4 linked regions of the Arabidopsis thaliana genome follow. The protein of the gene in region 1 interacts with the protein of each later gene in a pairwise test. Each region holds a gene or a part of one and is shown on either strand. Other genes may lie near its edges. The genes, in order: SSP4, AT1G10585, AT4G18340 and AT4G23050.

Region 1 (9,100 bases):
TGAGGTGTGTTAATTGGCTGGCATTTTGAATCTCTTTAAACTTCTAATCATAATTTCTCACATGGAAATCATATTTCTCCACTGAATTTCTGTTAACGTCTGTTACCTTTTTTTTAACCTTCAATCACTGTTAATCTTTGCGCTAACAGGAACTTATGAGACTCTTGATGATGCATGGAGGGTCTCGACAAGTGGATTTGTTAGATCCTATCATAGATAAGGAATTATCTCATCAGGCAGATTCCTCCGATGGTCTAAGCGCAGAGGACAAAGAAGAAATATCAAATTTATACATGGAGGTGAGGTTTTTCTTACAGATAGGAGATTCTGTGGTCTTTTTTGCTTGTCTATTTCATTTCCCCCCCATAGTAATTGCTCTTGGATTTGAGCAGTTTATTGATCTCTCTGGAACCATCCATGATGTGAGGAAGGCTTTGGGTCGACACATAAAATTATTCCCACATTCTGCTAGAGCCAAGTTACGTGGGTCCCGTCCTTCAGGAAATTTATTTAGAGAGTTGATTCAGAGAAGAGAGAAGACTCGAGAGCGCTTGAATCAGGACCTATTAACAAACAAAGGCATTAGCAGTATAGTCGATTCACCACCAAAAGAAAAGAAAGAGTCATCTCTAGACTCTTATGGTACCCAATCTAAAGATGCTGTACGGGCTGACTATGTAAACACTGAGCCTAATCAGGGCTGTCTGACTTCTGGACATCTAGTTGAAGGAAACGATAATGTTATTGAGAGGGAGACTTTGTGTGAGTCACAGAGCGATCTGTCCATGGGATTAAAAGCCAATGAAGGTGGTAAACGCTCTCATGAAGTTAGCCTACCGATCCAAGCCTCACCAGAACATGGTTTTGTCACTAAACAAGCTCACTTCTCGTCCAATTCAGTAGATACTGTGAAGTCAGATGCTATAGTGATCCAACCTAGTGGCTCACAGAGTCCCCAAAGTTACCAAAGTCAAGAGTCTCTCAGGCAAACTGGTCGGAACAGGTACCACAGAAGAGATTTAAACCAGATGCACAGAGATTCAAAACCTCGTTCTCAAGAGAGACCTCCTCAGATGCCATATTCTCCAGTCGGAACTGGTCGTGAAATTCTTGGTCAGCACATGGCTTTTACTCATCAAGACAATCGAGTAGCGCTACAAAGCTCAACCTCTCAGAATCCGCAAAACCAATTTCAGAACTCTGCACTTCAGATGCATCCTGTGGTTCAAACATCCAATGCTTATCCTCAATCTCAGATACATGGTCAGCACATGATTGTATCCCCTCCAGAGTCACAGAATCCGCAGAACCAATGTCAAAACTCTACATCTCAGGTTCAAACATCCTTTGCTTATCCTCAAACTCAGATTCCTCAGAATCCAGTGCAGAGTAACTACCAACAAGAAGGTCAGATGCAGAGTCATGAAGCTTATAACCAGATGTGGCAACAGTATTATTATAGCTATTATTACTATCAGCAACAGCAACAGCTTATGTCTGAACAGCCTCAACCAAATCAGAACCCTCAGCCACAACTAGATCAGAATCTTGTGCAACTTCTCTCCAAACAGTACCAGTCTCAAGCCAAAACTCAGTATCTACAACCACAACAGGTGGAACAGGTCAATACACAGCAACAGAGTCAAGAACCACAAAATCAGCAGCAAATTCAGTTCCAGCAACAACAACAACAACAAGAGTGGTTCCAACAGCAACAGCAATGGCAACAACAGCAGTATCTTCTCTATATTCAGCAACAGCAGTTGCAAGGAGAAGCAAAAGGCGATGAACAAAGACTCTCTATGCCGCAGGGTTCCACAACAAACAGTGATATTCAAAAGGTTTGCTTAAAAATTCAAACATGATTGCTTCAAAATTGTTTATTTTATATCAACTTAAGCTGTTTACTAAGAATAGATGTTCTTGTAGAGTCAAGAATCTGGAGCAGTCAATGAAGCAAATCTATCTTCTGACACTTCCATCAGTTCTATATGAGTCTCATGAAAGCCGATGGACACGTAATTGATTGTGTTATTAAAAAGCCTGAGACAAAACAAAAAAATGTTACATAAACTTCAATTTCAGTTTGGTTTTCAATCCAATTTAGTATTCAATTAATTTTAATTCACTTCGGTTTATTTATTTATCTGGTTCAATTTGGTTTGTGTGCACTAAATGAGTTTTGGTTATCGATTGTAATTGAAGAAATCAACTGATATGGTGTAAAAAAAAAATCAATTCGATTTTGGTTTAACGGTTTCGTTTGGTTTTATTTTTCCGGTTGCGATTTTATAAAGGACGGAACAGTAGCAATTAAAAGTATTTGGTGTATTTTCGTGATTATTTTAAGTTTCTGTTTTCTGTTTTGCTCCAAATCTCGAAAAAAATCTAAAATTTTAAAATAATTTCAAAAAAGCGAGGGGCTTCAACACGCGTCAAATTATGTGGGTGAGTCGTCCAGCTGGTCTATTATAACACGTGTTGGTTCGGTATTGGATTAGAAGCGCCCACCAAAGGAACAAATCGTAGCCGTCGATTAGATGAAATAAAGAGCCGTCATAAGGCTTGTATCATTCTCTATTGACCGTTCGTGGAAGTTGTGTGAGAGAAAGAAAAAGCCCAGAGAGAAGAGAGAGAGACCCACAACACAAACACAAAGTAGACGAAGAAGACGACGACGAAACAGCTCTCTTCTTCTCTCCTCTCTCTCAGGTCCGTCTTCTTCCCCCAAATTTGATCGCTTCCTTCCTCTTCTTCTTTGTCTTCACCTGGAAATTTCGTTTTTTTCTTATTACATTTTTTGTTTTTTGTTTTCTTCTGTGTTGTTTGACTTTCGATTTCTGATTCTGTGGTTGTTTATGCTTTGATTTTGTTGGATTTGTTAGAAAAACTTTCCATTTCATCTGGGTTTTGAAAAAGTTTCCTTTTTTTTTTTTTTTGGATTTGTGCTGGTTTTGTGACTTTTGTTCTCAGCTTCGTTTATTTGTGGTGAGTTTATGTTTGAATTTTGATTCTATCGAAATTTCGTTTTTGTGTGCTAATTTGTTTTATTTCTCTCTAATTTCGCATAACGATGACTTGATTTTTTGTTAGTGTATCTTTGATTTGGAGTTGGAATTTTACTTTTGGTAGAGAAATGTAAGTTTGAATAGAGAGAACTATTTGTGAATTATAATTAGGTTTTTTATGTGTTAAGGTTCTGGGTTTAGCTATTTCTGATAGGTTGACTTGTGGTTTGTTTGTCTTCTCGATTTTGTCTCCATGATCCGAGATTCCATGTCCATGCTGTGTAGATTCTGATCTCCTTTTTGGATTTTGGATTTTGGATTTTGGGTTTGAAGTATTAAAATGATTGATCGTGATGGGCTCTGTTTTTTTTTTTTTGCAGCATCTTCTGCTGGTTTGGTCTTTCACTAAAGTCTCGGTGTGCACCTAAATGTGCTTGATCCAAGGTCGTTATAATTCTGTGTACAGAGCCAATGCCATATATAGAAATGAAGAGCAAGATAAGCAAGGTTCTTGGTGTCTGTAAGAAACATAAAGCAAGTACAAGAAATTCTTGCTCTTTGTCCAAAATATCAGGAGACTTGGAAAGCATAACCGCAGCTATTACTACTTGCCACGACGATGAGAAACAGCACCCTGGTAATGATTTTTCTTTGTTTTAAGTATTGTGTTCTCAAATTGTTGATTTAGATAATCTGAGTTTGTTGTGTCATCAATCATTTTTTGGTTTCTTCTCTCTGATGATTGTGTCAGTTTCTTCAGGGTTGGATACTTTTTCTCGGGAGAGTGAAACTAATGAGCCCGCTGAAATGCTTGTTGAAGATACTTCTCAGTCTCAGGGGTTTGCACCTTGGGTCGATGGTTCTCAATCTGTCGAAAATATGGTAAGATTGGATATCTGGAGCTGATTCTCAAGGATACTGGAGAGCAACTTTTTAATTGTGGTTTTAACATTTATGTGCAGGAAAATGCTTGCAATCACATGTCAAACTCAGATACAATATTTTCACCTGTTCTGAATGATGAACTGGATGGAACTGGTCGAGGTACATGTTCCTGTTGTAGTTTTGGTATAAGGTATCCTTTGTTTGACATATAATAAGCTAATAGATTTCTTTCCTCAGTATTTACAGCAGGAAATTCTGTGATCTGGGAAACCCCCAGGTGGGGAGCCGACGAGAGCAGCAACAAGATTTGCTTTGACAACCAAACGTGCAACGTTTCTGATTTCTATATTTCTGACGTTCTTATTGCGAGCTTGCCGTTTGATGAGAGTGGAAACAACGATGCGTTCACTGAAATAAGCCCCTTGCCTCATTACATCTTTCCTGAGCAGTACATGGTACTACCTTACTTAGAAGATGGATCAGCCAACAAAGATGATATTAAGTCAGATACTGACAAGATTAATCTCGATAACCATGACTTGTTTCTGGCATTCAACCGGACAAGATCGTACAATGTGGAACCAGATGATCGTGCTGAATCTGAAGTAGCTGAAGACTTTGATCCTCAGCTTTTTATAAAAAATCAGCCGGAATTATCGGATGTTGTATCCAATTATTGGCCTCGGGATACCCTAAGAAAGAAGTCTGTGACCCTTGTCCTTGATTTGGATGGTATGATACCCTAATTTAATTATTGTCGGAGTCTGATTTCTCCTTTTACATTATTCTCTCATCTTGTGCTCGTTCATTATATCAGTTGTTCCTTAAAATTGATGTTGTATACTGAATCATGTTTAGAAACAGAAGGTGAACTGACTTATTTCTTCCTTTTGAGGAAATATGGTTAAGCATTTTTATGTCTGTGTACTGTTAAATTTTATGTTTCTCTTACCTCTAAGGTAGATGAGCTACTGAGCTTACCAAATTCTCTTTTCCTTAAATGCAGAAACTTTGGTCCATTCGACTCTGGAATCGTGTAATGTTGCAGATTTTTCCTTCAGAGTCTTTTTCAACATGCAAGAAAACACGGTCTATGTGAGACAAAGGCCACACCTTTACAGGTTCTTGGAGAGGGTGGGAGAGTTGTTTCATGTCGTTATCTTCACAGCAAGCCACAGCATCTATGCCTCACAACTTCTAGATATACTGGACCCAGATGGAAAGTTCATATCACAGCGTTTTTATCGCGATTCATGCATTCTTTTGGATGGAATTTACACCAAGGATTTAACTGTTCTGGGTCTTGATCTGGCCAAAGTGGCTATAATTGACAACTGTCCGCAGGTACTTTATCTTAAGATCTGCTCATGGGTCTCAACATTATTCATTAAAGTCTGATGTTTCATGATGTTTTATATACTCTGTTACTGAGAACACTATTAATTTGATGAAAGGCCCCACCATCAGTTTCAGTTTGAAGAATATCTGTCACATTACAAATTACAAACTTTCTTGGTGTATAATGATACATGTACCCGTTTTGATTATCCAACTTGTTTCTTTGTTAATTGTTTCAGGTGTACAGATTGCAAATAAATAATGGGATCCCTATCAAAAGTTGGTACGATGATCCAACTGATGATGGGTTGATTACTATACTTCCCTTCTTAGAGACTTTGGCTGTTGCTGATGATGTTCGGCCTATCATTGGCAGGAGATTTGGTAACAAGGAATAAGAGTTTCCTTCTCTTTTTTTCTATATACATCGAGTGCAGATCCTGATTTCTCTCCTTTGGATTTTAGTTACAAATTGGCCCTTAATTAGTTCCTCATATCTCTTTTTAGGTCGTTAATTAGGTAACCAAAGAATAAGCTCGTTGAGTCTAGTGAGAATAAGTTTCCTTGCTTGCTCCCTTTTTTTAATAGAAGACCTAGTTGTGGGCTTAAATCTTATGACTTTGCTGGTTCTTCTCTGCCAAGATAGATCCTAGAAAATCTTGCAGTTTGTTACAAATGTACAGTTGGTTAAGCTGAGATAATGGATGTGTACAAATGAGTTACTATTGCGTGAAATCATTTTGGAAGTTAACACCAGCTGCATTCATGTGTCTCTCTTTGCACTCCTCTTGTACTGTTTAGTTGAGCTTGAAATTCTTACTTGGACTGGTAAATCCAGAACATATTTACCTGCGTCAACGCCAGTCATAGAAATACAGAAATATAATCAAATAATGCAGAAGTTGTTGAGTCTGAATCTTGAATCTTCTACCAGCTTCTATTGTTTATTTTTAAGGTTCTGAGCAAAGTTATTCCACGTTTTCCGTCTCTTGGCTCTGCAACATTCCAATGAGATATCATACTCCGAGGTGGGAGGAGTTCTGAATATCCAATGATCGAGTCAAGCTCATGGTATACAAATAGTCTATAATATTCATTAAAATTTTCATGATTTTGCATGCCTTATATGCAGATATCATCCAATGAAGTAACGAACCTAACTATATTTATTCGCTTTATGGAAATGACAACAGTAGGTAAGTTTTAAATCCTTATTTACTTGTCCCTTTTTTGGTCTAACAAGCTTCTTTTTGTTCTTGTTTCTTATTTCCGTCCTCTCTAACCTTGTAATCTTTATGCTGAAAGCTGTTTCACAATCTTGTTGCTTAACTTGGTCCAAAACCTGTTTCTGTCCCTCTGTTTCTCCCCCTGGTTTCATGTAGAGTAAACAGGTTATTGTCTTAATATATTATACACGTTTAGTCACAGATGATTGTTTAAAGTATATGTCAGTAATTGCTGTTTATCAGTTTCTGAGCTTGGTTTGTTTTCTCCTCGGTTTAACATTTATGTGCTGTGTGACTGGTTTAAAGTAGTGTGTTGATCTTTGATGTTATCCTCAGTGAATTTTCTAGGAACAAGAGCTCCTAAAAACTAGTCGCAGTCTCGCGGGCTCTTTGTTTTCCCATACAAGTATACTTTGCTCATATATGAATGATGTATTACATTGTAGAAATTCTACAATCTATAGAAACTTTTACAGTATAATATATAAAAGTTCTTTGATAGTCTTAGGAAACAGGAACCTATCTACAACCTATGAAGGCTACCCGACAACACTGTTTTTTAAAGCTCGACAAACAGTCCTTCTTCATTGAAAACGAAACAAAACTAGGCCTCCGTCTCTAAAGTTAAAATATGATGAGCTATCTTATTTGCAATGCGATTACATTCTCGGGGATTACAAAAACAGTAACATAACAAAACAAAGTTACCATGACATGTTCACATGAATGTCATGCAGCATAGGTTGAACTGCAGTCAAGTATGTTATTGCCCATCAAATCTCTACCACTTCTGCTTTTAACTTTTGAGGCTAATAAAAACCAAAGGCAATGCACGGCACGAGGCAACGAGCCACTCCACCAAACTTAAGTGCTCACACGTGAGACATGGACCCCCCATGAACATGAGAACCCTCCGGATCAAATAGAGTCTTTCTTTGTTTCAGTAAAGCTGGGATTTTTTTTGGTTGTTGTTGCGACATTCGTCGTATCCATTGCTTAGGGAGAGAAGAGATAATGCTGAGAGCTTCGCTGCTCTGTTCTTCGACCTCAATCACTTTCACACCAATTCAACTATTCAATCCCAATAGTTCCCATCGTTTCCCAAGATTCGAACTATCTCGTCCTGTCTCGGCTTTGTCTCGTACCAAATGTCACTTGAGTCTCCTGAGAGCTCGTGGGAAATCCAGCTTCCTCACTCGCAGCACCGGTAACTAGTTTTTTTTATTGGGTTTATCCTTGTTTTGTGATTCTGTGGTCTCTGTCTTTTTCTCTTCCAAGGTGTGGAAACTTAAGAAGTTTTGGGTTTTGAGAAGCTGTTAGCAACTGTATTATTGAATTGATTCTAATTTTTGTTTCTTTGGCTCTCTTTGTTTTTTGATCTTCAGCTACTGATGAAGCTGTTGAAACTAGTAGTAACAGTGGATTGGATTTGGTTGAGGTTGGATTCTTGTCTGGTGTTCATGGCCTTCAAGGCGAGATTTGCATAAAACCAAACACTGATTTTCCTGATTTACGTTTCTCTAAGGTATTCAAAGGATAGAAATTTGAAGAAAGTTTGTGTTTTTTTTCTTCTCTTTTCTTGAAAAACAAATATGTATAATTTGACATTTTTTTTTACCATTGGCTTGATTGTTTCATTAGCCTGGTAGAAGATGGTTAAAACAACAATTGTTGGGACAAGATAAGATTGATGAGGTTGAATTAGTCGAAGGAAGACCTCATCCTGCGCAGAAGAGTTGGATTCTTAAGTTTCGAGGGTTGGACGATGTTGATCAGGTAGTGTAGTGATCCATGGGAGATTTTAAAAGACACATTTGAAAATGATTTGTTACATTTGATGGGGTTTCCGTTTCCTTCAGGTGAGACAACTCGTTGGTGCAACTCTGCTTGCTGAGGACGATGATCGTCCTGAGCTTGATGAAGGAGAATTTTACTCTCGAGATCTTGTAGGCATGAGAGTTCTTCTCAAGGTATATTTGGGTTTTTGCCTTTTGTATAATATATCGAAAATGGGAAAGTCTGGGGTCTAAATCAGTTATCATATACAGGAGACCGGTCAACTTGTTGGAACTGTTGCTAATATTTTCGACAATGGAGGAAATGATCTTCTACATGTTTTGCTTGACTCATCCATGGAAGTCTGCAATGGGAATGCAAAGACCAATCAGCTTGTTTGGATACCTTTTGTAGATGCAATTGTTCCTGATGTTGATTTGGAAAGAAAGGAGATGTATATAACTCCACCGAAGGGACTCCTCGAGGTGAATATGCGAGCAGATGATCGGTCCAAGAAAGAAAGGCGGCAGCTTGTGAGGCATATTCTTCTTCGCTCTTCATATTGACCAGTCTTTATAGACTTTCCAGATTGATCTTTCTTGGTCTCTTAAACTCTACGCTCTGGTCATTTCAGGAATGGAAAGAAAGAAAAAAACAGCAGAAGCGCCTTATTGCTGCTAAAAAGAAGTTATGTGAAATGGAGCAAAAGCATGTGTTTGATGGATTAAGGTTTGGAGAAAAGTCTCAAAGGAATTTACTTGCTGATCATATCCTTAACGTAAACTCCACACTACTTCAGAAAGCTTTGCAAAGTATTGACACCTCATCGAAGAGGTAAATTAACTTCAAGAAATTTCCCAACCATTG
Region 2 (6,217 bases), on another chromosome or scaffold:
TCAATCTCATATTTTCAGTTAGTAAAATGTACATGTATTAAAACGTAACAAAATCATCGTTCTCAAAACTATTTCAAATATATTACAATCTCATATATCACGCAGATTTCTTCAAAATTTGAACTAAATGTCGGTAACTATTTATAACAAAAAATGTTTGGCAAACCAAAATACAATTGCAATCCCTTAAAATGAGCAAAACGCACTTAAATACATTTTTTTATCAATTCACTAAATCTTATTTCTCCAAAATTTAAACTAGATTTCGGCAACTATTTAAAACAAAAATTGTTTGACAAACTAAAGTACAATTGTAATCCCGTAAAATATTTATTTTAATTATATATTTAAATCAACGATGTACTGTAGTTTTTTTTTACGGGACGGGTTTGGCGGGACGGGTTTGAAAGGACATTACTTAATAACAGTTGTAAACTGTAAAATAAATATATTTTATAGATAGATATAATTTACGAACTTTTATATATACTAATTTAAAAAAACAATTGTTCCCGCGGTGTACCGCGGGTTAAAATCTAGTATATTACATTTTAGTTAATACATATAACGATTATAACCAAATTCATACAAAAGACATGGAAGTAACTAGGTTGTGTGTTTTTATTGGCACCAACAGTTGCCAGTGCCTCAACTTATAGATCAAGCGGTATCATACATGATCCAACTGAAAGAGAAGGTAAACTATTTGAATGAGATGAAAAGGAGAATGTTAGGAGGAGAAGTCAAAAATCGCTCTGAAGGGTCGTCTCTTCTGCCAAAACTCAGTATTCGTTCACTGGATTCGATCATAGAAATGAATCTGGTTATGGATCTAAACATGAAAGGAGTAATGTTACACAAGCTTGTGAGTGTTTTTGAAGAAGAAGGAGCTCAAGTGATGAGTGCTAATCTTCAGAACTTGAATGATAGGACCTTTTATACAATCATAGCCCAGGTACATGCATGTGTCATGTTTTTTTTTTTTTTTTTAGCAGCATCTCTTTGTTCCATATCATTAAAATATAGTTTGAACTTTTTTTGAAGGACTATATATATATGATAAATTAATAATCACCTAAATGAATATTTGCAGGCTATCATATGTCGGATCGGGATTGATCCATCAAGGATAGAAGAGAGATTAAGGGATATAATCTCATGATTAATTTTTTGAAGCATTATTGAATCCCAAATCACAAGTCTTTTCTTAACAAATTAAATGTGTTAGTTCTTTAAACATGAGATTATGAGTATTTTTAAGAGTGAATTGGTGTAATAGCCCTATTGTTGTTTAAGTTAAAGAGAATGATCAAATGTCTGAATACCATTTCCTCAAGTATATGAACGAAAAAGCCTCTCACATCATCTTCAAAATCTCTTTATTTTCTCTTTTCTTTCTATGCCTAATCTCTATTACGTTTATAGAATCTCATGTTTAAATATAAAATATATTATCTACTTTTATTGTCAAGAACTCTCAAATTTTCTTTCATTGAGCATTTTAAGCTCAAATATTTTATTACAGGCGCCGTCTAAAATAGTCGTAATTGATATTTGCATACATAGAATAGATAGATGTTATGCATCTGATGACTATCTTCAAAACATGTTCAAGGGCATAGGCATTTGGATCCACTTTTGGAGTTTTTCATATTGCGATAGCAAGGACATTCATCTTTGTTTTCTCCTAAAATCACACATGGTTAGATTTTGTATGTGAATATAGTTAACTAAAACTTAAAAAACATGTATATATACACGACATAACTAGTAAACAAATCTTTTTTTCTAAATGTCTTATATAAATTGGACAGTATATATAGATCGATAACAAAAATTTCGCTACAAATTTTCTAACTATAAGTAATCATCCTTTTCTAGCCACAGAATTAGTTACAAGTAATTATAGGCTTAACATTTTAAAATTGGGCTAATCTGTATTTCTAGTCACGGATTTTCAATGGCTATGAATTATGATAGTTACCAAATGACTATTCTCTTCTTGTACGAATTCAAATATTTGAAGAAGGAAAAAAAGAATAACATGTGGAAAATGCAATAAGGATATAATTGTCCCTTACTCAGTTTCTAAGCAAGTGGTCAAGCAGCGAGACGATATATACACAGTGTTAGTATCATATTGCGGCTCCTTTTACTTTTTATGTCAGTTTGCTCAGTGGCAAAGTTATGACCAACATCTACCTGGAGTACTCCAAGACTCAACAAAACTAGGCATGTTTAATTTTCTGTCTTTGTATTCACCTCCGGTGAACGTTTAGACGATCGGTCCATGTAGATCCCCTATCCGGTGAACGATGTCGGCCATACGGCCAAAGAGAGTTGAGGGCCTTTAATAATTTATGTAAGGAATGCCGAATGTGTTGTGTCCTTTTCTTCTATGATAATGATAGCTTGTTGAATAATCTTAGGTTATGGCGCCTTATGATACTTTCCTCGGATAATGAATACGTGCACCAAATTAATTGAACATGATGATACTATTTGATTTAGTGGTCCCGATTCTATCAGTATACAAAACAATTTTCCTTTTCTATTTGTTGATAGAAACATATATAGTACTGTTGTAAGGAATTCATTTTTGTCTACCGTGGCTGTTGACTATTTTACGCCATTGAAATGATTTTTGATAATAATTTTCTCCAAACCTACTGTAAATCACAGGACTTAAACTCATGGTTAGTAATCTGAAAGAAGAAGAATCATATCTCTGAACGTTAGGAATCTCATCTCACACGGTAAGCATGATGCTATCTAAACTATGTCTTTGAACGTTAGAAATCTTACATCGAAATTATGATGCGTCCTAGTAATGTGTCAACCCACCAACAAATCTAATTTTTTTTTTAATGATAAACAACATATCTAATTGTTTTGAAACTTTTGTATCTTTAAGAACGTGGAAATTCCGAAGTAAATAGTAAAATTTACTTGGTAGGAAAGATGCATGCATCTTATTAATTTAGTGTGTAAGCTCACGGACGCAATCACAAAAGCCATGACTTTCTTCCAAAACATCCCTTTCATCTAAATCACGTAGCTCTTTCTCTCAAAGTTGAGATTTGTGACTCTGTATCTCCCGGCCCTCTCTATCTCTTTAACTGTATATAAAGAGAGATGGATTTGAAAAGAGAAACTTGTACATAAAAGCTTAAAAGAAAACAAAAAGAATGGGGAGAGCAAGAGAAATAGGAGAAGGAAACTCATCGTCGTTAAGGGAACAACGAAACCTCAGAGAGAAGGATCGAAGGATGCGCATGAAACATCTCTTCTCTATACTTTCTTCTCATGTTTCTCCCACTCGCAAGGTCCGTTTTTTCTCTCTAACTCTCCCTCTCTCTCTTTCTCTCTCTATATATATCTTATATTAAATTGTAGATGTGTTTTATGCGTATATACAACAATACAAACATTATCTACATAATTACTGTAAGATGTACGTTTTATTCTAAAGAGATAATATTTTGATTAATTGAATAGGCAGTTGTCCCTCTATGACCGTCCATATTAGCTCTCTTTTAAGTACGGTGTCTAATTGACAAATAAATGATTCACGTAGCTAGGGTTTTTACGGTTTATTTATATATATTGAATATAACCACATTCATGTAAAAGATTAATGAAAGTAATTATCTTGGGGTTTTTTTTGGGATCTAAACAGTTACCAGTGCCTCACCTTATAGATCAAGCGACATCATACATGATCCAATTGAAAGAGAATGTAAATTATTTGAAAGAGAAGAAAAGGACATTGTTACAAGGAGAACTCGGGAATCTCTACGAAGGGTCGTTTCTTCTACCCAAACTCAGTATTCGTTCGCGGGATTCGACCATAGAAATGAATCTGATCATGGATCTAAACATGAAAAGAGTAATGTTACACGAGCTTGTGAGTATTTTTGAAGAAGAAGGAGCTCAAGTAATGAGTGCTAATCTTCAGAACTTGAATGATAGGACCACTTACACAATCATAGCCCAGGTACCACATCCACACGCATATGTTTGTATAATACACACGTATATGCATGTGTCATGTCTTTCGTATAAATTTTTATTACATATATTTGCAGGCTATCATTAGTCGGATTGGCATTGATCCATCAAGGATAGAAGAGAGAGTACGGAAAATCATCTATGGATATATATATTTTGAAGCATGAAATCCCAAATGATAAGTCTACGCTAACGCTAGTGTGTTTTTTCACACATGTGTTAGTTCTTTAAATATGAGATGAGTAATTGCTTTTGAGTTCGATTATGATAAATATGTTGACCGTCAACATAAGAAACCTTAAAACGTTGTCGTTTCGTTTTTATTCATCCCGGTTTAATTCAGTTTGGCTTGGCGTGATTTTAGATTGGTCCAGATTTGCATAATTTTAACCACCGAGTAAGACAGTGGGATGTAAATGTCAATAAAATACACTATTGGGGTAAATGTGAAAAGAAAAAAATAGTAAGAGGCTATATTTGAAAATCTAAATATCGCACAAATTGCAACCCTTATTTTAGATTTAGGAATTTTGAAACCCTTGTCGAAGAGAAAAGAGGCAAAATCTCAGTATAAAGTTTCTCAAACACTTGTGGTAAGAGAGCAAAATCGTGAGAGATGGATCTGATTCAATCCTACGAAGAAGAAGACGAAGCCGTTGCTTCCTCGCCGGAATCTTCACCGCCTCGTATGTTAAAGGCGAAATCATCGGCGCCGGAGGTAGACGATACGGCACTAGCTCTCACGGTGGCTAACGTGAATCAATCGAAATCGAAGCCGATTGACCCGACTCAACACGTCGTCTTTTATAACCCTACCCATGATCAGCTGTGGGCTCCGATGTTCGGCCCCGCGCATCCGTATGCGAAAGACGGGATCGCTCAAGGGATGCGGAATCATAAGCTAGGTTCTGTGGAAGATGCTTCGATTGGATCGTTTGGGTTTGAAGAGCAGTACCATACGTTTCATAAGTGCGGTTACGCGGCGGATCCGTCTGGGATGAACTACGTCGGCGATGTTGAGGCGTTTAAGAAGAACGATGGTCTTTCGGTTTTTAATATTCCTCAGAGTGAGCAGAAGCGGAGGAAGATTGAGAGGAGCAAAGAGGAGAGGGAAGGGGAAGAGAAAAAGGAAGAGATTGAGCCGGAAGCTGAGAATCCGGAGACGGAAGCTTGGCTTAGGAAGAATAGGAAGAGTCCGTGGTCGAGGAAGAAGGAGGTGGTTCAGGGAGAGTTGACGGAGGAGCAGAAGAAGTATGCGGAGGATCATGCCAAGAAGAAGGAGGAGAAGGGACAACAAGGTGAAACCAAAGGAGAGCATTATGCGGATAAGAGTACCTTCCATGGCAAAGAGGAGAAAGATTATCAAGGAAGGTCTTGGATTGAGGCTCCTAAAGATGCTAAGGCGAACAATGATCATTGCTACATTCCAAAACGTTTGGTTCATACATGGAGTGGGCACACGAAAGGTGTTTCCGCTATTAGGTTCTTCCCAAAGCAAGGACATTTGCTTCTCTCTGCAGGTATGGATTGTAAGGTTAAGATTTGGGATGTGTATAACTCTGGTAAATGTATGAGGACTTACATGGGTCACGCCAAAGCTGTGAGGGATATTTGCTTCTCCAATGATGGGTCTAAATTCTTGACTGCTGGGTATGATAAGAACATTAAGTATTGGGACACGGAAACTGGCCAAGTTATATCGACTTTCTCCACTGGGAAGATTCCGTATGTGGTTAAGCTGAATCCGGATGATGACAAGCAGAACATTTTGTTGGCTGGTATGAGTGATAAGAAGATTGTGCAGTGGGATATTAATACGGGGGAGGTTACGCAAGAGTATGATCAGCACTTGGGGGCAGTTAATACTATCACATTTGTGGACAATAACAGAAGATTTGTCACGTCGAGCGATGATAAGTCTCTCCGTGTTTGGGAATTTGGGATCCCGGTGGTTATCAAGTATATCAGTGAGCCTCATATGCATTCTATGCCTTCCATTTCTGTTCACCCGAATGGAAACTGGCTTGCTGCACAGAGTTTGGATAACCAGATTCTGATCTACAGTACCCGAGAAAGGTTTCAGCTGAATAAAAAGAAGAGGTTTGCAGGGCACATTGTTGCCGGTTATGCATGCCAAGTTAACTTCTCGCCAGATGGACGGTTTGTAATGTCAGGAGATGGTGAGGGTAAGTGCTGGTTTTGGGAC
Region 3 (7,146 bases), on another chromosome or scaffold:
CTCCAATTTACTCGCGTATAACTTCACTATACGCGGAACAGAACGAGCTTCAGTTTGCTGTACCGGGAGGTCTAATCGGAGTTGGAACAACCATGGACCCTACGCTTACGCGTGCTGATAGGTTGGTTGGTCAAGTCCTTGGTGAAATGGGTACTCTCCCTGACGTCTTTGTTGAGCTTGAAGTAAGTTACCAGCTTCTGACTCGTCTCATTGGAGTGAGGACAAAGGAAAAAGAGAAGCAAATGAAAGTGTCAAAGCTAACCAAAGAAGAGATATTGATGGTGAACATCGGGTCTATGTCTACGGGAGCTAAGGTTATTGGAGTCAAGAAAGATATGGTGAAACTCCAACTGACGTCTCCGGTGTGTACCACCATAGGAGAGAAGGTTGCTTTAAGCCGACGTGTCGATAGGCATTGGCGTCTAATTGGTAAGGGTCAGATTATGGCTGGAACCACCATCGATGTTCCTCCTCCTCCTTTCTAATGAAGTAGTGATGAGTTTTTTATATTGTTTGCATTCAAAAATAATTAACATGTGCCTTTGTATGTTTAATCACTTTCTTTCGACTACAATATAAAACTATATTCATATTTAACACAACATTGACGAAAATTTAAAAAACAAATTCATAATTTCATTAATGATATTACTTATCACTAATTAGGAATTATATAATTCTAATTCCCTCCTCGTTCTGAGCTTTTGTTTCATCTTTACGCTCTCTCTTACTCTCAGCCAAAACCCTATACTCTCTTTCAATCCCAATGGAAGATTTGGTTTTGATGAAACAGAGTCTTCTAAAAAGCTTCATCGTCTCTCTTATTCTCACTCTCGTCTTCCTCATCTCACCATCATCATCATCTTCGAATCAAGAAACAAGAGTATCATCAACACAAAAAACGGAAGCTTATCTCAACGGTTACGAATCACCGCACCAACTCGTCTACATCAAGAAAACGACACCGTTTATCTTGAACCAGCGGTTGCAACGAGACAACCACCGTCGTCGTCGTTACAATCACCAATACTACTACTACTATCGACATACTCTTCGTCATCGCCGTGGTCTTCATCATCGTGCTGGCTACTTCAAGATGATGGCCAAGAAGAATAACGGTTTAAACCGTCCGGTTCGACAGGATACTTTCTCGGTTATGCTTCCCAAAGGATTCGTACCTCCTTCCGGTTCATCTCCATGCCATAACCAGAACCCTAATTCCGCTACTACTCTCTTTTGCGATCTTTCTACACAACCCTAGATATCGTTGCCGATACGTCGTACGTGAAACGATTTTGTTCCTCTCGTCGCACTTTTGTATTTTTCATCTTTTAAAGATTTTTTTTTCTTTTTTGTTCGGAATGACCGGTGCATTGATCAGTGCATTTTTGACGGTCAAGTGTATGAAAATAATTTGCATACTAATGTTTGATTGTTCGTGTCCTTTGATTTTTCAGAAAGTACTTATTTTTCCTTACGTGCAGCTGAATTATTTTATTCTATAAAACTAAACTTGACTGATCGGTAAAATAATATATGGAGAGAAAAAAGCATATGTGTCTATGTTTTCAAGGTCAAAACGCATCGTTTGTGGCAAGAACAAGGGAGTATATTGAGCCGATATAATTGGAAATGAGCATGTGAATTTGCATCGTGAGCATAAGCTCTTGTTTCATGGCTTTTTTTTCTTAGCTTCAGTTCCAATTCTTCGTACCGTCCACTCCAATGCATATGTTTGCATTCTAATATCTATATTATATAACTAGCTAGGGATTGTATTTAAAATATCCAACAACATATACAAATGAATTAAGCTATGCCATATTTCTTGAATTAGAGGGAAAAAAATATATGGTTGATTCTAAACCGCTACTGGTTATCGATTATATGCCTTTTGGTCAAAGTTACTACTTACTCAAACCTTTTCATATACGACAAGTTTTTCTTAAAAAGTAAACTTTGTTTCTTTATTATATATGTCAATTACTTGTTAACGACAACAATAAATTTAGAATTTTCACTATTGACCGACTTCATTTGAATGTTGAATTGAATATAAATTATATTTATCAAGCTTATAATTAAATTGTTTACATAAATATCCTAAACAATCGCGTTATTATATTGTCAATAACTTTTCCTCTAAAATAGTCTCAACATTACAACTTGAACCATCGCCAATATCAAAATTGTCCAATACTCCAAGCTCCTCTTTGCCTGAAAGAAGAAGAAAACAGAGAATTAATTCATTTTGCACATCTAGTCCTTTCACAAACTTATTCTCGTCGTGGCCCCAATAATTCCAAATTCTAACAAAATTCACCACATAATACTAATCGTACCTTAGTGGCAGAGGATGAATAAGTGACAGATTCTGAATTTGCCGTCGTTGTCGACATTGTAGAGAATCCCAAATTGTAAGCTAATGATCCATCTGGTTGGAATATACCGTAGTTTTTCTCCGAAGTAGGACCTGGTTTCATATCTTCATTGAACAACGCAAATATATAAACATCGAGTCTTGCATTCCGTCTCGCTGGAGTTCCTTCTCCGGCGAATTGCCTCATCATAAGATTCCGGTTATACGTGGCAGCATTCACAGGAGACGCTCCAATCTCTCCGACATCTCCTTTTGAAGGCCACCCTGTTTCCGCAACCCTAACTTCTATGTTACGGTACCCTAGTTTCGCAGCCGCGAAAGCAACTGCGTCAACTTGAGCATACATCATGTTGTCGTAGTGTAGTCTTGTGTTGGGATCGGTCATGCCGATGTTACGGTTGAATAGAACGTAATCGACTGGGATTTCTTGTGGGTTATCTTTGTAGGCAAAGTAAGGGTAAGCATTTATCCAAAAAGGAGATTTCGTGGCTTCCAAGAAATCTAGAAGTTGTTGCATCACGGAGGAAACCTCCGGCTTGAAACTTCCGGCAGATGGAGGATAAGATTCACCGAGGACGGCAAGAGAGCTTGGAGACGAGACTTGAATGTATCTATCTAAACCTAATTGGACCAAGGCTTTGTGGATGTTGATTATCGCCGGCATCATGTATCTATTACCAAAAAGAGGAGAGAATATAGTCAAAATTAGCAATTATTGGACAAAAACTATTACACTCATTTCTTATTGAAATTCAAAGTGGAGTTTAATAAATATAATATTTTTTTCGAAGGAGTTCGTTACATTTGACCAAGTGGTAGTCAAGAAAATGTGAAATCAGTTAATGAAAAAAAACTAATTCTGTGATCATGTAACAAATTAGACTAATATTCAACGATTAGTACTTACCCTATTAAACTAGAGTCGTCGTCGGTGAAAAGCTCGTTTCCGACCATAATTCCGGTAATCCTAGTGGCCGGAACATAGGGTTTAATGTGAGAATCTACCCATTGGGTAGCTTGTTGAGGATCTTGTAGTAATGGTAAAACCTGATTTTCGATGGTGACGATGATCTCGATGTTTGAATTTGCAAAGGCACTAAGGATTTGAGGGTTAGTGTCGTAAATTCTTGTTTTTGTGATCCTTAAAGATCTCAAGAGGTTAATGACTTTATCCGGTGAAGGCAAATTGTTCCCAACTTGTCCGTAATTGATGCCAAGAGACGTTACTGTTTGTAGTATATTCCCTATATTTCCAAACAAAGAATCGAACTTTTAGAAAACAATGCCAAAAATCTTTAATATTCCATTAAACAAACATTGAAAAAATGAATTCTAGACTTATTATCGATCCGTTATTTCACTATGTTAAAATCTTACACGTTGAGGTTTTAAGGCGGCAACGTAAAGCATAACTTAAGTGTTAAGAATTTGGTTTTAAAATTTCAGAATGAAAAAGAAAATAACCTGAGAAAACGAGAGAAAGCAGGAGAAAAACATGAATGAGACTGGAATGTCTTGTGAATGTTCTTGATGTCATGTTGAGGAAGAGAGAGGGAGGGAAAGAGATTGTGAAGGTTTTGGGTTTTAAGAGAAGTGTTTAATGGAATATTTATAGACATACACAATAAGCCAACCAAGGTGAAGAATACTTTTCTTCGCTTGTTTGTTTTTTTTCCGTGTTTTTTGTTGTGAAAAGGTTTAGTGTTGAAGTTTATGTTTTTTAAAAAAAGTGTTTTTAAATTGTTTAGCTTTGCCTCCCTATATTGCTTTTCTCATTTATGCCTTTTTTATCCACTGACGGCTTTCTATAAACCACAACGAAGGATTTCTTATTAAAGAAAATTATTAGGTTTTAAAATATTTGTATGTAGTTATTTATCATATAGCTAGATTAATGCAGACTCTATGACAAGACAATTTGCATGCACATGTATGGAAGGAAATACGTTGTTTGTGTGTTTCGTTTAATTACATGTACTATACAAGTGGTGTTAACTGTTGGGTTGGTAAAAAAAGTGAGCAATGTTATTAAATTAAGAAGAGATTGGGATACACATAAGTGGACGTGTATAGAATATTGAAGAAGTTTCATAAAGCACCGGAAAATATTAAAATATTCGTTTCAATTAAGTAGGTGAGTCGTGACTTAAAACAAACTTGTACTATACACCAAAAGTTTATTCTACGATAATCATGGAGAAAAAGACGTGGTATAAAAATTAATATTAACACAATGAAATTTTAATAGATAATCATGTCTTGTAGAATAATCATGAAAGGTAAAATATCAAATTTTCAGCTAAAACTTCATGACAAAAGAAATTTTATAATGGGTTATTAGTCCCACAAAAATGGTCTTTATTTTTCTTATTAACTTTTACTACTATTAATATTATTATCTAATTTATCTGAATCATTGATTTTACTAATCACGTGTTAATTATGATTAATTTAATGCTAATTCAAATTCGAAGAATAATGATTACATTTTCGCATGAATCTTGACCGCAAGTGTATCCTAGCCTAATTAATATGACAAACAAACCTTACTATATTTCTTTAGACAAAAGCTAATTGGAGATCCGATTTGACTTGACGTGTCAAAGGATTCAATAGTACACTGAGGAAGCCTCCTCCGTTTCTCCTTTAAAGTTTAATATTTTCAAATCTCCCGGGAAATATAATACATACAAATAAACATATATCACATATTTATTTTCTTTTTGTAATCCGAGGCTTTTGGACGGAAATTCATACAAGTCCTCGAAAGTTATCAAGAACGGGATATCCAAAATTGTATTCGTGAAAGATATATAAGTCGTAATATAATTTGCCATTAATTGTCAAGAAAAAATCTCAAATATATTGTTATTCGGATTAAGATGATAGAGAAGGGATATACTTACTTTCCTTTAGACAAAAGGATCATGCTTAATTTTGAGGCACTTGTAAAATAAAACAAGACAAATATGATAATGTATAAATTGACAAATAACTAAAAGCATTAGCATAACAAAAGTAAAATAAAATGGTCAATTGGGATAATGTTGCTAATATGCTTTCGAGGGGAATTAGACAAGTTGGCGGGGCAGTGTCACACACTTGGAGCCGTCGGTCAATTTCAACCATCGGTTGTTTTTTAATCACCTGACATAATAAACCCCAACAAAACTTATTTAAGAAATAGTAAGTGCTTTCGCTTGGTTGGCTATTGATTTGTTAATCAATTAATTTCTACTTACTATATTTTTAAATGGTAAAATATAAAGGGTTAAACTTGATCACGTAGACGATAGTCAATTCGTTTTCTCGAAAGGTTGGCTAGCCAGAAAATTACATTAATTTAAAGTGGAACTTTTGGCTGTATTGATCTAATCCAAAATACCCTAGTGTCTTCTTTTCGATTCTATAATATTAAATCTTCTCTCTTTTTCACGACACCAAGAGCCATTTTATTTGAACACATGTATACAACTTATAAGAAATATACCCGTCTCAAGCTATTGAACTTGTTGCAATTAAAAATGTAATCGTTCGATGTTGGAATTAAATATGTGGAAAGGAGTCAAAATCAGTCAATTATTCAGAGTGGCCTGTTTATAGTTGGCTGAAAACTTTTAGTTCGTCGTTTAAAAGTTTGATTTCGTGGCTTAGGATTGACCACCGGTCGACTTATGGCAGTTCCATATAGATTAATTTGATAATGACGTAACTATATACCATACACGGCCGAACAGATTGTTTTATATAGGCCTATATGTGTAAAGTTAAAGATAATTTGATTTATTATCGAGTATATGACACAAGTTTTAATTTATTTCTAATGTTTAAATTTAATGATTCTGGTTTAGTTCTTCATGAATATGATCTAGTTTGTTAATTATTTACTGAATGGACATATTTTTGGTTGCAGAATATTTCAAGTTTACGTTATCTGTGGATATTTTAATGTCCAAATCAGAAAGATCATATAATTGTCCAGCAAGTTTGAAACAGCAGACAGAAAAAGAGAATGATTTTGTTTTAGCTCGGATTGAAAGAATATGCCATTTAATCTGCAATTTATTTACAATATCGAATATGCAAATAAAATGACATGAAAGCTTTTTAAAGCAACACAAGTACTCAACGATATCAATGTTTTTGAACAAAGGTTAAGTTTCTTCAAAGAAAGGGTTTAACCCTTTTAACGCATGAAAAATAGAGTATATATAGGGTTTACTTGATTCGGATTTCCATGTTGGACATTTGCAAATGTATGATGCATCACACCCAACTGTGGGAATTTGATAGTGATAGGTAACTAAATTGGTTAACCATTTCCAACTTGGACCATGTGCGAATTGGTTTGAAGGTGGTAATATTAAGGTACCTTTGAATTCTCCCGCATGAATGATTCGGGAAGTGTTATAGCGGGTTTCTTAAAGAGAACAGTGTAGATAAGGGAGAAGATTGCAAAATCAAAAAAAAACAAAAAAAAAAAAAGATTGCAAATTTTACCTACTGTTTAACAAATGGATCAGGCCAAACCATCATTAAACATGCTTGACAGGTCTAGGTTGGGTTGGACCGACATGTTTTTTTTTTTACTTAACAATATATAGTTCACCAGATCAAAAATTCAAATTATATCTGCATAAAAGATACTAAGCTGCACCAAAGTGAACATATAGTTAAATAATGAGCCTATAACGTATCTAAAAATTCTTTTTGACGTCATACACTTGTATTTTATATTTGAACTGAACTCTATATACATATATTAC
Region 4 (9,225 bases), on another chromosome or scaffold:
GCATCTTCTGCTTCAGGGCTCCGGGGAAGATCATCATTAAGTGAGCTCCGAGATCCAGAAACCGCACGTCTTGGTCTGTGGCTAACAAGGGGTTCCTCTTCCTCCTCAACATAATCAGGGTCATCGTCATCATCATCATCATCATCCTCAGACAGTGAGCTAGGTGCTGCGAATCTACACATATAAAAACAATTTCTTGGGACATTGTCTAGGAAACACAGAAGACAAACTGATAGACTACAAAACAGAACAAACTAACCTTCCATTTGAGGCTCGGGAACCCTGCTGTACTGGAATAGAAACCATTTCAGAAGCTTCTCTTTCTGAGGATGAAGCCTTCCAACCTTCACTGCGCAACACTTCTCGCTCAGCTGACTGCACTGTGACAGATTTTGTTACGTCATCACCAGTCTCCATTTTGGAGGCCTCAATAGCAGCTCGAATAATTTGTTCTTCTATATCATTGTAATGTTGCATATTATTTTCTGCAGAACCAACAGGTACAGCATGCCTACTTTGTCCGGTTGGAGCAGACTGATTATCATCATCACTTACTTCATCTATAATGACCGCCTCTTGGGCAGCTGGACCGTGAGCTTGAGCTGTCTCGGTCACATCCTCAATAGTAGGAGCATCATTAGATTGACCTGATGGCCCATTGCTGTCTTTAACCTCTATAGGTATCTCCCTGGCCTCCCTTGGATGACTAACAAATGGGGGACGCGACATAACAGGATCATTATCAAATAGACTTCTCCCAAAGTTTGGATCACGAAGCGGGAACGGGTCCGTTGTTCTAGCTTCAGAGAGGACTGGAGTCACACCATCATCTATATCCATTGCATCATATGAATTTTGATCTCCATGAGTAAAGTATGCATTCACAGCTCTATTGAGGTTCCCACGATACTCCTGCAATAATGATAGCATGTAAGTTTTGGCAAACACGAGGAACACCAGCCACACACAAAAAAAAAACTTACAAGTTATAATGATGCTGAGACAATAGAATAATGACTAAAAGATAAGAATGCACAAAGGACACAATAAAAAGTTCTCTAAACCCAAACTAAAATTGTACACAAGATGAGTTCTGAAAAAAAATTCATTGACTTCAATAACTAACTTAAACCCCACATGAATATCTCTAAAATACCAAAAATCCAGACCAAAATCCAAAAAAGAACAAAACTTTTCACAACTAATTTCACAATGAGCAGGTATAAACTCGTTTAGATATCAATGAACAATTAACAAAACCAATAAGCATGAGAATTCTGTAAGAAGTCCACATAAAAACTCAATCAGATAATCGGATAAACTAAAATTCAACACAATTAACTCCAATTGCGACCTAAACGCATCAAGATGAGCTTAACAACGATATAACAAAAGCGTAGAGGAGATATAATTCGATGATCCAACGAACAACCACTTGAGCGATTCGAGAAACTTCCAAAAATACTTCAATCAAAAACAAAATAACATCTAAACAATAGAAGGAAGACGGAAAAAACCCAGGGAAGTGTAATTGAATCACCTCGAGCTTACGAACGGCGACGGCATTGGAAGAGCCGGTGATGGTCATGAAGGTGTCAATAGCTTCCTGAGTAGGTGTCGCCATTAGAAAAGAGAAAGCTTGAGAGAAGTTTTTCGTCGGAGATTTGTGTTTGGAGCTGGAGTGAAGGAGGAGGCAAGAATTAATATATGTTGTAAATCACAAAAATTGCAGTGAAGAAAGGAATTGGATCGGTGACTCTTAAGATTTTTAAAGCCTTTTTTAGGGTCTTTCTTCTTTTCCATTTTTTTTAATTCTCCTTTTTTATTTGGTGTGGATTTTCTTAAACTTTATTTTCTTTATTCTTTTTGTATATTTTCGGTGATATTCAAGATATTATTTTCAGAGAACTTGAGATAATATATGGAGTGTCCTAATCTGAATAACTAAATAAATAATTATTCAGTTGAAATTGGATTTTTTTTTTCAGAGTCTTTATATTTTATAAACTGGAATTCGAGTCAAATTCAGAGTGGATTAAACTTATCTTTTTAGTTTTTACTAGCCAAGAACTTTTTGACCTTTTTTTTTAACATGATATTAATTGTTATAGTGTATATACATTAAAAGTTAGATAATTTTTAATGTACAAAAAAAAAGTTACATAATTTATTTTTTTTCACACCAATTACATATTTTATTTGTCAATTTGACAGTAAATATGGAAATAAGCCTTAAAATGTAAAGGCTTTTCGGTCCAACAACGAAAAACCAAAACCAAACCCAAAACTAAAATATCCAAAGATATCCTCACTTTATGATCATCCCAATCTTCCCTCTATATAGTGCCTTTAAAGGAGCTGTCATGTTCTCTTTCGGCCGTTTGTAATATAAGAATTGTCGTTTTTGTCCAAAAAAAAGGGTTGGCTTTCAGTTTGTGTCCCAGAAACAAAGTAAATCTTTAGATAAATTGAAACAAAACTAGCTTTGTGACTCCAATTAAACTTTGCTTCCTCTAAGAAACCTTATGGAGAGTATTATTCTACAATGATTTGAAGTATACTACTAATAATTGATTACATTTAAATTCAACTATAATTTATTGTTATTGTTCTTCAATCAACTTGAACTTTGAGTTTATTGGGCACATTACTTTTAGAGGAATGTGAATGTGAACATTGAAGAGACGTGTATTTTATTTTCTTCTTGACAAATACCGTTGGAGGTATAAAAACACCATCAAACTCAGGCCCATTTGGCAATGGCGGCAACAAGAATGGGTATTATATTGAGGTTAATTTCGTCAATCACCACTTTTAAATCGTGACAAATTCGTCTATTATCTCTCAATCTTCTTCAACCTTCAATTACATCGGCAATTCTACAAGTGGCAGCATCCTATTAGTAACAAACACACGTGGCGTAAGCTAATGCGTCGTAGTGTTTATAATAGCTGGGGTTTGTTAATTATGGCGTCACGAGTGATTTAAGAAGCAGCTGAAAAATAATAAACAATGAGGGAATGCCAACGTTTTAAATTATATTTTTAATTTGTGAATTTTCATCAGAGTCGGATCTTGATGCGACTGCTCAAACAGAGTCACCGGCGATTACGATGGCCGGAAACAACTCGGAATCGAGTCTCTACCAGGTTTTGGTGGAGTGGTGTCAGAGGATGGAGACGAGTCAAGCGAGACTAAGGGAGGATGTTGATGACTTATTGCTTCAGGAGGAGAGTCGAACCGGTAAGGAATCGGCGACGGGATTGGAGACGGACACGGAGAAAGAGGCTGAGGTAGAGGTGGAAGCGGAGGCGGCGGATTCCTGGGATAATCCGACGGCGACTTGGGAGAGAGCTGTTTCAGGATTCTATTTCGCTGATAGTGCGTATCGGACTTTGATGGATTCAATGGGACACGCGATTCATGTAACATCAGCTGCGTCTGGAGAAATTACATTCTGGTGAGCTTGATAAGTTCTTCTTCTTCATCTATGGTGTTTGTAGATCAGGAGCTTATAGTTCTTCTAAGTACTGTTTCATTGAATTGTGTGTTTAAGTAGTTAAACAAAGTTATATATAGCGATTCATTGTATATGCAAGTGGACATTTACTATTTGTTTCTGAGTGGAGAGATTCTTTTATTATTATTCAGGAGTCGTTCTGCTGAGAATCTGTACCATTGGTATGCTGAGGAAGTTGTTGGCTACAGAACTATTGATGTGCTTGTAACCGAAGAATACCGTAATTCCCTTACTGGTATCAGGAATAGGGTGTGCCGTGGAGAGACTTGGACTGGTCAGTTTCCGTTTCAGAAGAAAACTGGTGAACTATTTATGGCTTTGGTGACTAAAAGCCCTGTGTATGAAAACGGTGAGCTGGTTGGTGTTGTTACTGTCTCGAGCGATGCAACCCTTTTCAATAGGATGCATCCACTAAGTAATGAGCATCAACAACAAGCTCGTAGTAATAATAGACATGAATCAAACTTGAGAAAACATCAGTGGCACCTCCCGAGGCCTCAGATCGCTGCAGCATCACAGGTTCCAGTTGTCCCACAATATTCATCAGCTGTTGCTTCAAACCTGGTAGATCTCACATCATGAATGTTCGAAGTTTCTCAGTACTTTTTTTTATATAATAATTCGTGTGCAACATGAATGATTGTTTGTTTTGCTGTTTTCTGCACAAACCAAGAAGGCGTCGAAGCTTCTACCACAGAGAAATGGAGATGATTCCTTCAATGGAAATCATAATTCGAGGAGCCGAGATGAAAATGTTCCGGTTGTTGCCTCCACAACTTTCGAGAAGTATGGCTCACTGGTAAGTCTTCGTTGGCTCCTTAAACAAGACACTTCTCATTGACATTTCTTAGAACGATTATTGTCTCATGTTATAAGCTAAATCTGCATATACACTAGTGTAGGCGGATAAGTTTTTGGGGAAGCTGCAAAGGAAGATTACTGGCAGCCAAGGAACCGAAGATAATGAGCCTATCTTAAGAAACGGTATCAATAAGTCAGCATGTGGCAGTGGAGGTAGTTCTAAGGCTTCTAATGCAGTTACCTGCACGGCTTTCAGAGACAATGGCAATGGAAAACCAAAAAGGGCTGAAGTTAGAATTTCAGATGTCTATGGAAATGGAGCTGAGGGTTTGATACATAATGGAGATCGCTTTCAGTATATTGGGAACCTGGGACAAAGTAAACCTCCCAGAGGACTAGAGAGTGGTTTGGTGTCTGGCATGCGGGGAACAAAAATGTCGGACCTAAATGGTGAGATAGAAGATGCTTGGAATACTCGTCTTAGTGTTGATCCCTTGCCAATTCTAGGAGTCAACAGCGGTAGGCAACAAAGTCCTGTCAACCAAAGGAATAATAGATTAGTTACTGATTCGTCATGTGAGATACGATGGGAAGATCTACAACTTGGGGAGGAGGTCGGAAGAGGTGTATTTCATTTACCAAAGTCTTACACTCGTTTTCACGTTTTAGATATGCAAATTCAATTCAGATCTGTGTCATTGCTGTTTAAATCAGATTACAAGTATTTCTGATGCGTTACATTTTCTCACAGGTTCATTTGCTGCGGTTCATCGTGGAGTTTGGAATGGATCGGTGAGTTTTCTGTAATTTAAGATAAAATAAGGATGATTCTAGTATTAGTTGCACATGGATAACTAACTAGTCCAATCTATTTGGACCAGGATGTTGCTATTAAGGTTTACTTCGATGGTGATTACAATGCGATGACTTTGACGGAGTGCAAAAAGGAGGTATGTATAATTAGTTCTCTCTGTTATGAATTGTTTCTAGAAGTTACTCGTACCAGACAAAATAAATCAGTTTTGATCAATAATATCTTCAGATCAACATTATGAAGAAACTGAGACATCCGAATGTGCTACTATTTATGGGAGCAGTATGTACAGAAGAAAAATCTGCCATAATCATGGAATATATGCCAAGGTGAGATTATTGACGTATGGATCTGGAAGTAGTGTTACTCCTTATCGAGTGTGTTATATTATGCTGCAAGAAATTGCAGATGAATACTCTGTGCTAAGTTATTTCTATACGGTTTTGATGATTAGAGGGAGTCTCTTCAAAATACTTCATAATACGAATCAGCCATTGGACAAGAAACGCCGTTTAAGAATGGCCCTTGATGTTGTAAGACTCTGATCTTCCAAAAACCTCCCTCACAATGAAAGAAAAAAATATGAAAGGCTGATTATATTCGGGTTCTCTGTTGTTGTTGCAGGCTAGGGGAATGAATTACTTACACCGCAGAAATCCGCCAATTGTACATAGAGACTTGAAATCTTCCAATCTACTCGTGGACAAGAACTGGAATGTCAAGGTACAAACAGTTTTCTCAAGTTACATTTATGAAGACTTGTAAAATGAGTTTACTATTGCATGGACTTTCAACTCTTTCTTCCCTAGGTTGGAGACTTTGGGTTATCAAAGTGGAAGAACGCAACCTTCTTGAGTACTAAATCCGGGAAAGGAACTGTAATGTTTAACAAAAGCCATTTCTGATTCTTTTAATCCACAAAACAGTCTTGGATTTCTGTTACTAAACATTGTTCAACTTTTTTCTATGTGCAGCCGCAGTGGATGGCTCCTGAAGTTCTCAGAAGTGAACCTTCGAATGAGAAGTACGTTGGATATAATATTAACCCTTTTTTGTTCTCTTTTCGAAGACATTATTCAATAACTTGAACATTTTTTTGGACTAAAAGCTCAATGCTTTCGTTGTAATAGGTGTGATGTGTTCAGCTTTGGAGTCATCTTATGGGAGCTAATGACTACGTTAGTACCATGGGACCGTTTGAACTCTATTCAGGTACCTCTCAAATTCTGTTCTTATGAGATTATAGCTTGATCATAAGATTGTAGTAATCTTAGCAACTTTAAATTAGGTTGTTGGAGTTGTTGGTTTCATGGATCGACGATTAGACTTACCTGAAGGATTAAATCCCCGGATCGCATCCATAATACAGGATTGTTGGCAAACGTAAGAAGACGCATCTGTAAATTGTTTCATCAAATACACCCTACAAACTTAGGGGCGATTTTTCTTATATTCTTTGTTCTAAATTGTTGAAACAGTGATCCAGCAAAACGACCGTCGTTCGAGGAATTAATTAGTCAGATGATGAGCCTGTTCCGCAAACCAGGGTCAGGTGCGCAAGAAGAAGACGATTGAGAAGGTAAACAGTACATGGTTAAAGGATAGTTCACAAAGCAAAGGACGTGAAAAGAAAACGAAAGCATCGTCCTGATCACTTACTATACAAATGTTTCATTGTGTTATACCAAACTACTATTTATGTTTTCATTGAAAGAAAGAAAGCAAAAATAGCTAAATCAAAGTAATATACAGTAGAATCTTAGGTTAGTTTAGTTAAACTATGCATTATATAAACTGTTGTCGGTTTATGAGCTAAGTTGTAAAATGGGATCTAAAAAGGCAGAGGCGCAGAGGCCAGAGGAGGACTCAGATGTAATTTAAGAAGTAAAAGGGTGAAAAAGAGAAATACGAGAAAAACTGTGAGATTGATGGTGTCTTGTAGTGAATTGTAATGTAGTTGGTTTTGGTTTGATGGGGTAAGAGAAGGAGGAGTGACAATTCGTAGGCATTGCTTCTTTTGCTTTAATATTCTCTTATTACAGCTTCCCATCACTGCGTCGTCTGTAGCTTCTCAGCACCTAATTATAAGAGAGAGTCAGAACCCTAAATAAAACTTTTTTTTCAATCCTTATTCGTAATTCCACATTACAGCATCTTGAAATTGACGCAGTCACAAAAGCATAATTAAAAAAAAAAGGATACAAAGATGGGTCTATTATACCGAGTATGTATTGTGCATGCATGTGACGTGGGTGAAGGGAACTTCTCTTATAGAAGTATTGAAAAAGGAGAAATTTTGGGGGATTGAAAATATTTGTCTGTTTGTCTGGTTAGGTCAGAACAAATCACATCGAGCTGCATAGTAATATTTCGTTTACAACACATGGTTGTGACCTCTAGACAAATAAACTTTTTAACAGTTTTCGCTGTTTTGCCTTGCATGTATTTCGTAGTATTTCAATTTATATGTAACTATATTTCAATTGAAACATCTTTACCATATTATTTTCTTTTTTGATGCCAATTTCTTTACCATGTGTTTGCTCTTGTGTTATTTATGTGTGATTGATTGATTGACCGTGTCGATTACCCAAGCGGAATCTTGTAAAGGGATACTCCGTCACCGTAATACAGTGACAGCATATTTAATTTAAAATAATATAAAGTCATTGTAGGATGGAAAAGTAATTTCTATGATATTTTCTTCCGAACATTATAAAATTTATTTTGTCAGAAGTAGAGCAGATTAAAGTTTCGAAGATGGATACTTTCACTTTTTTCTTGTAAGATATTGATTAGGTATGATTGAGGCTCATGATACGAAATAATGTCAGTGTTGAACTACTAATTTGTTATGCTTGAAATGCTTTTTTATAGGTCAGTAGGTTTTTTTATTTTATTTTTAGGCATATTTATTCTGGTTTAGTTTAGTTAGTTGGTTTCTAAATTTTCCTTACGACTAAAAAATCTAATCCCAAAACCAAACGAAAACAAGAAATAATAAATCGAACAATATTTTTAATAACAAATAGAATATATATATATATATATATATATATTATATCAAATTATTCCAAGATAGAGTTTTTCAGTTCATTCCTAGTTCCTACTCATATATTCTTAATTTCTATTATCTCAAGATTTTATCTTGTCCTCATATCTACGAATTGTATGAAAGGGTTTAATAACCATAATCTATTGCATTGTCCTATCTACGTACACCATAATCGCTTGTGTTGGTGGATCTATAGTAATCTAAACAATTTTTTATTTCCATGGCGTGAAAGTTTGAGCCAACAACTAACGATATTAATCGTACAAATGAGTTTCATATTTTTTTTTGCAATCTCATTTCAAAAAGTGAAACCAAAATTTGGATGCTTCTAATTAACCATAAGATTTTTTATTAGGTGCACCTAATCTTGTTAATAAATTATAATCTTCTTTGATTAGTTATGCTCCTATCCAGATTTCATGCTTCAACTCTATGATTGATCAACTTGCATTATTACTGTACCATAAATACTTTGCCAACGAATGTTAGTTGTGGGGGAAACAACAATTCCGCTGGTAATTTTGACTGAATTAAAAAATTAGAGATAGAATGCAAGGAGACACGTACGAACGAGTTCATACACGAGAAGCAGTTGACCAGAGTCAACAAACCTGTAAAAAGCTAAAGAACCACCGTCCACTCGCAGTCTACTATATACGACTAACTAAGATTCATGCAGGCTCAAGTTTTTGTACTTGTATGACACGTGGCTAGATCGTAACGGCCGTTTAGACTGATGTCTCTTCGTCTCTCCGAGTCTTTGTCCTGTCTTTTTCTCATTGCATGAGACATACCGAAGATTCCAGTGGATTAATTGTCGGTCCATTTCTTTTTTCCTTTTTACTACTGACTTCGAGTTAGATTCTCTAAAGTAGTACACGTGAACCATAGGATTCGTTTATGATTACATAAAACCTTTGTTAGTAGTGTTTGTTCATTTCTTAATTCTGGTTATACATTTGAAACATATGCAAATTTATCACTCGACTTATTAATCCTAAGTTCGTAACTAAGTTCTTTTTGGTTAATTAGCTT

The links.
Region 2: the proteins of SSP4 (region 1) and AT1G10585 interact in a two-hybrid assay, tested with the Arabidopsis thaliana proteins (one large-scale study listed by BioGRID).
Region 3: the proteins of SSP4 (region 1) and AT4G18340 interact in a two-hybrid assay, tested with the Arabidopsis thaliana proteins (one large-scale study listed by BioGRID).
Region 4: the proteins of SSP4 (region 1) and AT4G23050 interact in a two-hybrid assay, tested with the Arabidopsis thaliana proteins (one large-scale study listed by BioGRID).

What each region holds. Positions count from the first base shown.
Region 1 is NC_003076.8:18,822,528-18,831,627, forward strand, and holds SSP4 (SCP1-like small phosphatase 4), read left to right. Parts: upstream 1-2,575; 5' UTR 2,576-2,712; intron 2,713-3,388; 5' UTR 3,389-3,479; coding exon 3,480-3,645; intron 3,646-3,759; coding exon 3,760-3,890; intron 3,891-3,970; coding exon 3,971-4,052; intron 4,053-4,130; coding exon 4,131-4,625; intron 4,626-4,899; coding exon 4,900-5,237; intron 5,238-5,470; coding exon 5,471-5,629; 3' UTR 5,630-6,259; exon of another isoform or gene 6,260-6,363; 3' UTR 6,364-6,694; downstream 6,695-9,100. Other genes in the region: PRP39-2 (Tetratricopeptide repeat (TPR)-like superfamily protein), read left to right, coding at 1-4, 150-299, 393-1,841, 1,930-1,995; AT5G46420 (16S rRNA processing protein RimM family), read left to right, coding at 7,472-7,664, 7,843-7,982, 8,099-8,233, 8,317-8,427, 8,506-8,766, 8,868-9,067.
Region 2 is NC_003070.9:3,492,076-3,498,292, reverse strand, and holds AT1G10585 (basic helix-loop-helix (bHLH) DNA-binding superfamily protein), read left to right. Parts: upstream 1-3,048; 5' UTR 3,049-3,188; coding exon 3,189-3,326; intron 3,327-3,608; exon of another isoform or gene 3,609-3,637; coding exon of another isoform or gene 3,638-3,679; coding exon 3,680-3,997; intron 3,998-4,088; coding exon 4,089-4,178; 3' UTR 4,179-4,523; downstream 4,524-6,217. Other genes in the region: AT1G10586 (basic helix-loop-helix (bHLH) DNA-binding superfamily protein), read left to right, coding at 638-955, 1,094-1,162; AT1G10580 (Transducin/WD40 repeat-like superfamily protein), read left to right, coding at 4,628-6,217.
Region 3 is NC_003075.7:10,128,103-10,135,248, forward strand, and holds AT4G18340 (Glycosyl hydrolase superfamily protein), read right to left. Parts: upstream 4,091-7,146; 5' UTR 3,918-4,090; coding exon 3,845-3,917; intron 3,625-3,844; coding exon 3,288-3,624; intron 3,052-3,287; coding exon 2,343-3,051; coding exon of another isoform or gene 2,310-2,342; exon of another isoform or gene 2,218-2,309; coding exon 2,143-2,217; 3' UTR 1,948-2,142; downstream 1-1,947. Other genes in the region: AT4G18330 (Translation elongation factor EF1A/initiation factor IF2gamma family protein), read left to right, coding at 1-485; AT4G18335 (uncharacterized protein), read left to right, coding at 767-1,261.
Region 4 is NC_003075.7:12,076,999-12,086,223, forward strand, and holds AT4G23050 (PAS domain-containing protein tyrosine kinase family protein), read left to right. Parts: upstream 1-3,061; 5' UTR 3,062-3,113; coding exon 3,114-3,460; intron 3,461-3,651; coding exon 3,652-4,084; intron 4,085-4,193; coding exon 4,194-4,319; intron 4,320-4,422; coding exon 4,423-4,945; intron 4,946-5,072; coding exon 5,073-5,113; intron 5,114-5,202; coding exon 5,203-5,271; intron 5,272-5,363; coding exon 5,364-5,464; intron 5,465-5,589; coding exon 5,590-5,668; intron 5,669-5,759; coding exon 5,760-5,858; intron 5,859-5,944; coding exon 5,945-6,013; intron 6,014-6,109; coding exon 6,110-6,159; intron 6,160-6,265; coding exon 6,266-6,347; intron 6,348-6,423; coding exon 6,424-6,518; intron 6,519-6,613; coding exon 6,614-6,710; 3' UTR 6,711-7,258; downstream 7,259-9,225. Other genes in the region: AT4G23040 (Ubiquitin-like superfamily protein), read right to left, coding at 1-174, 260-912, 1,541-1,624.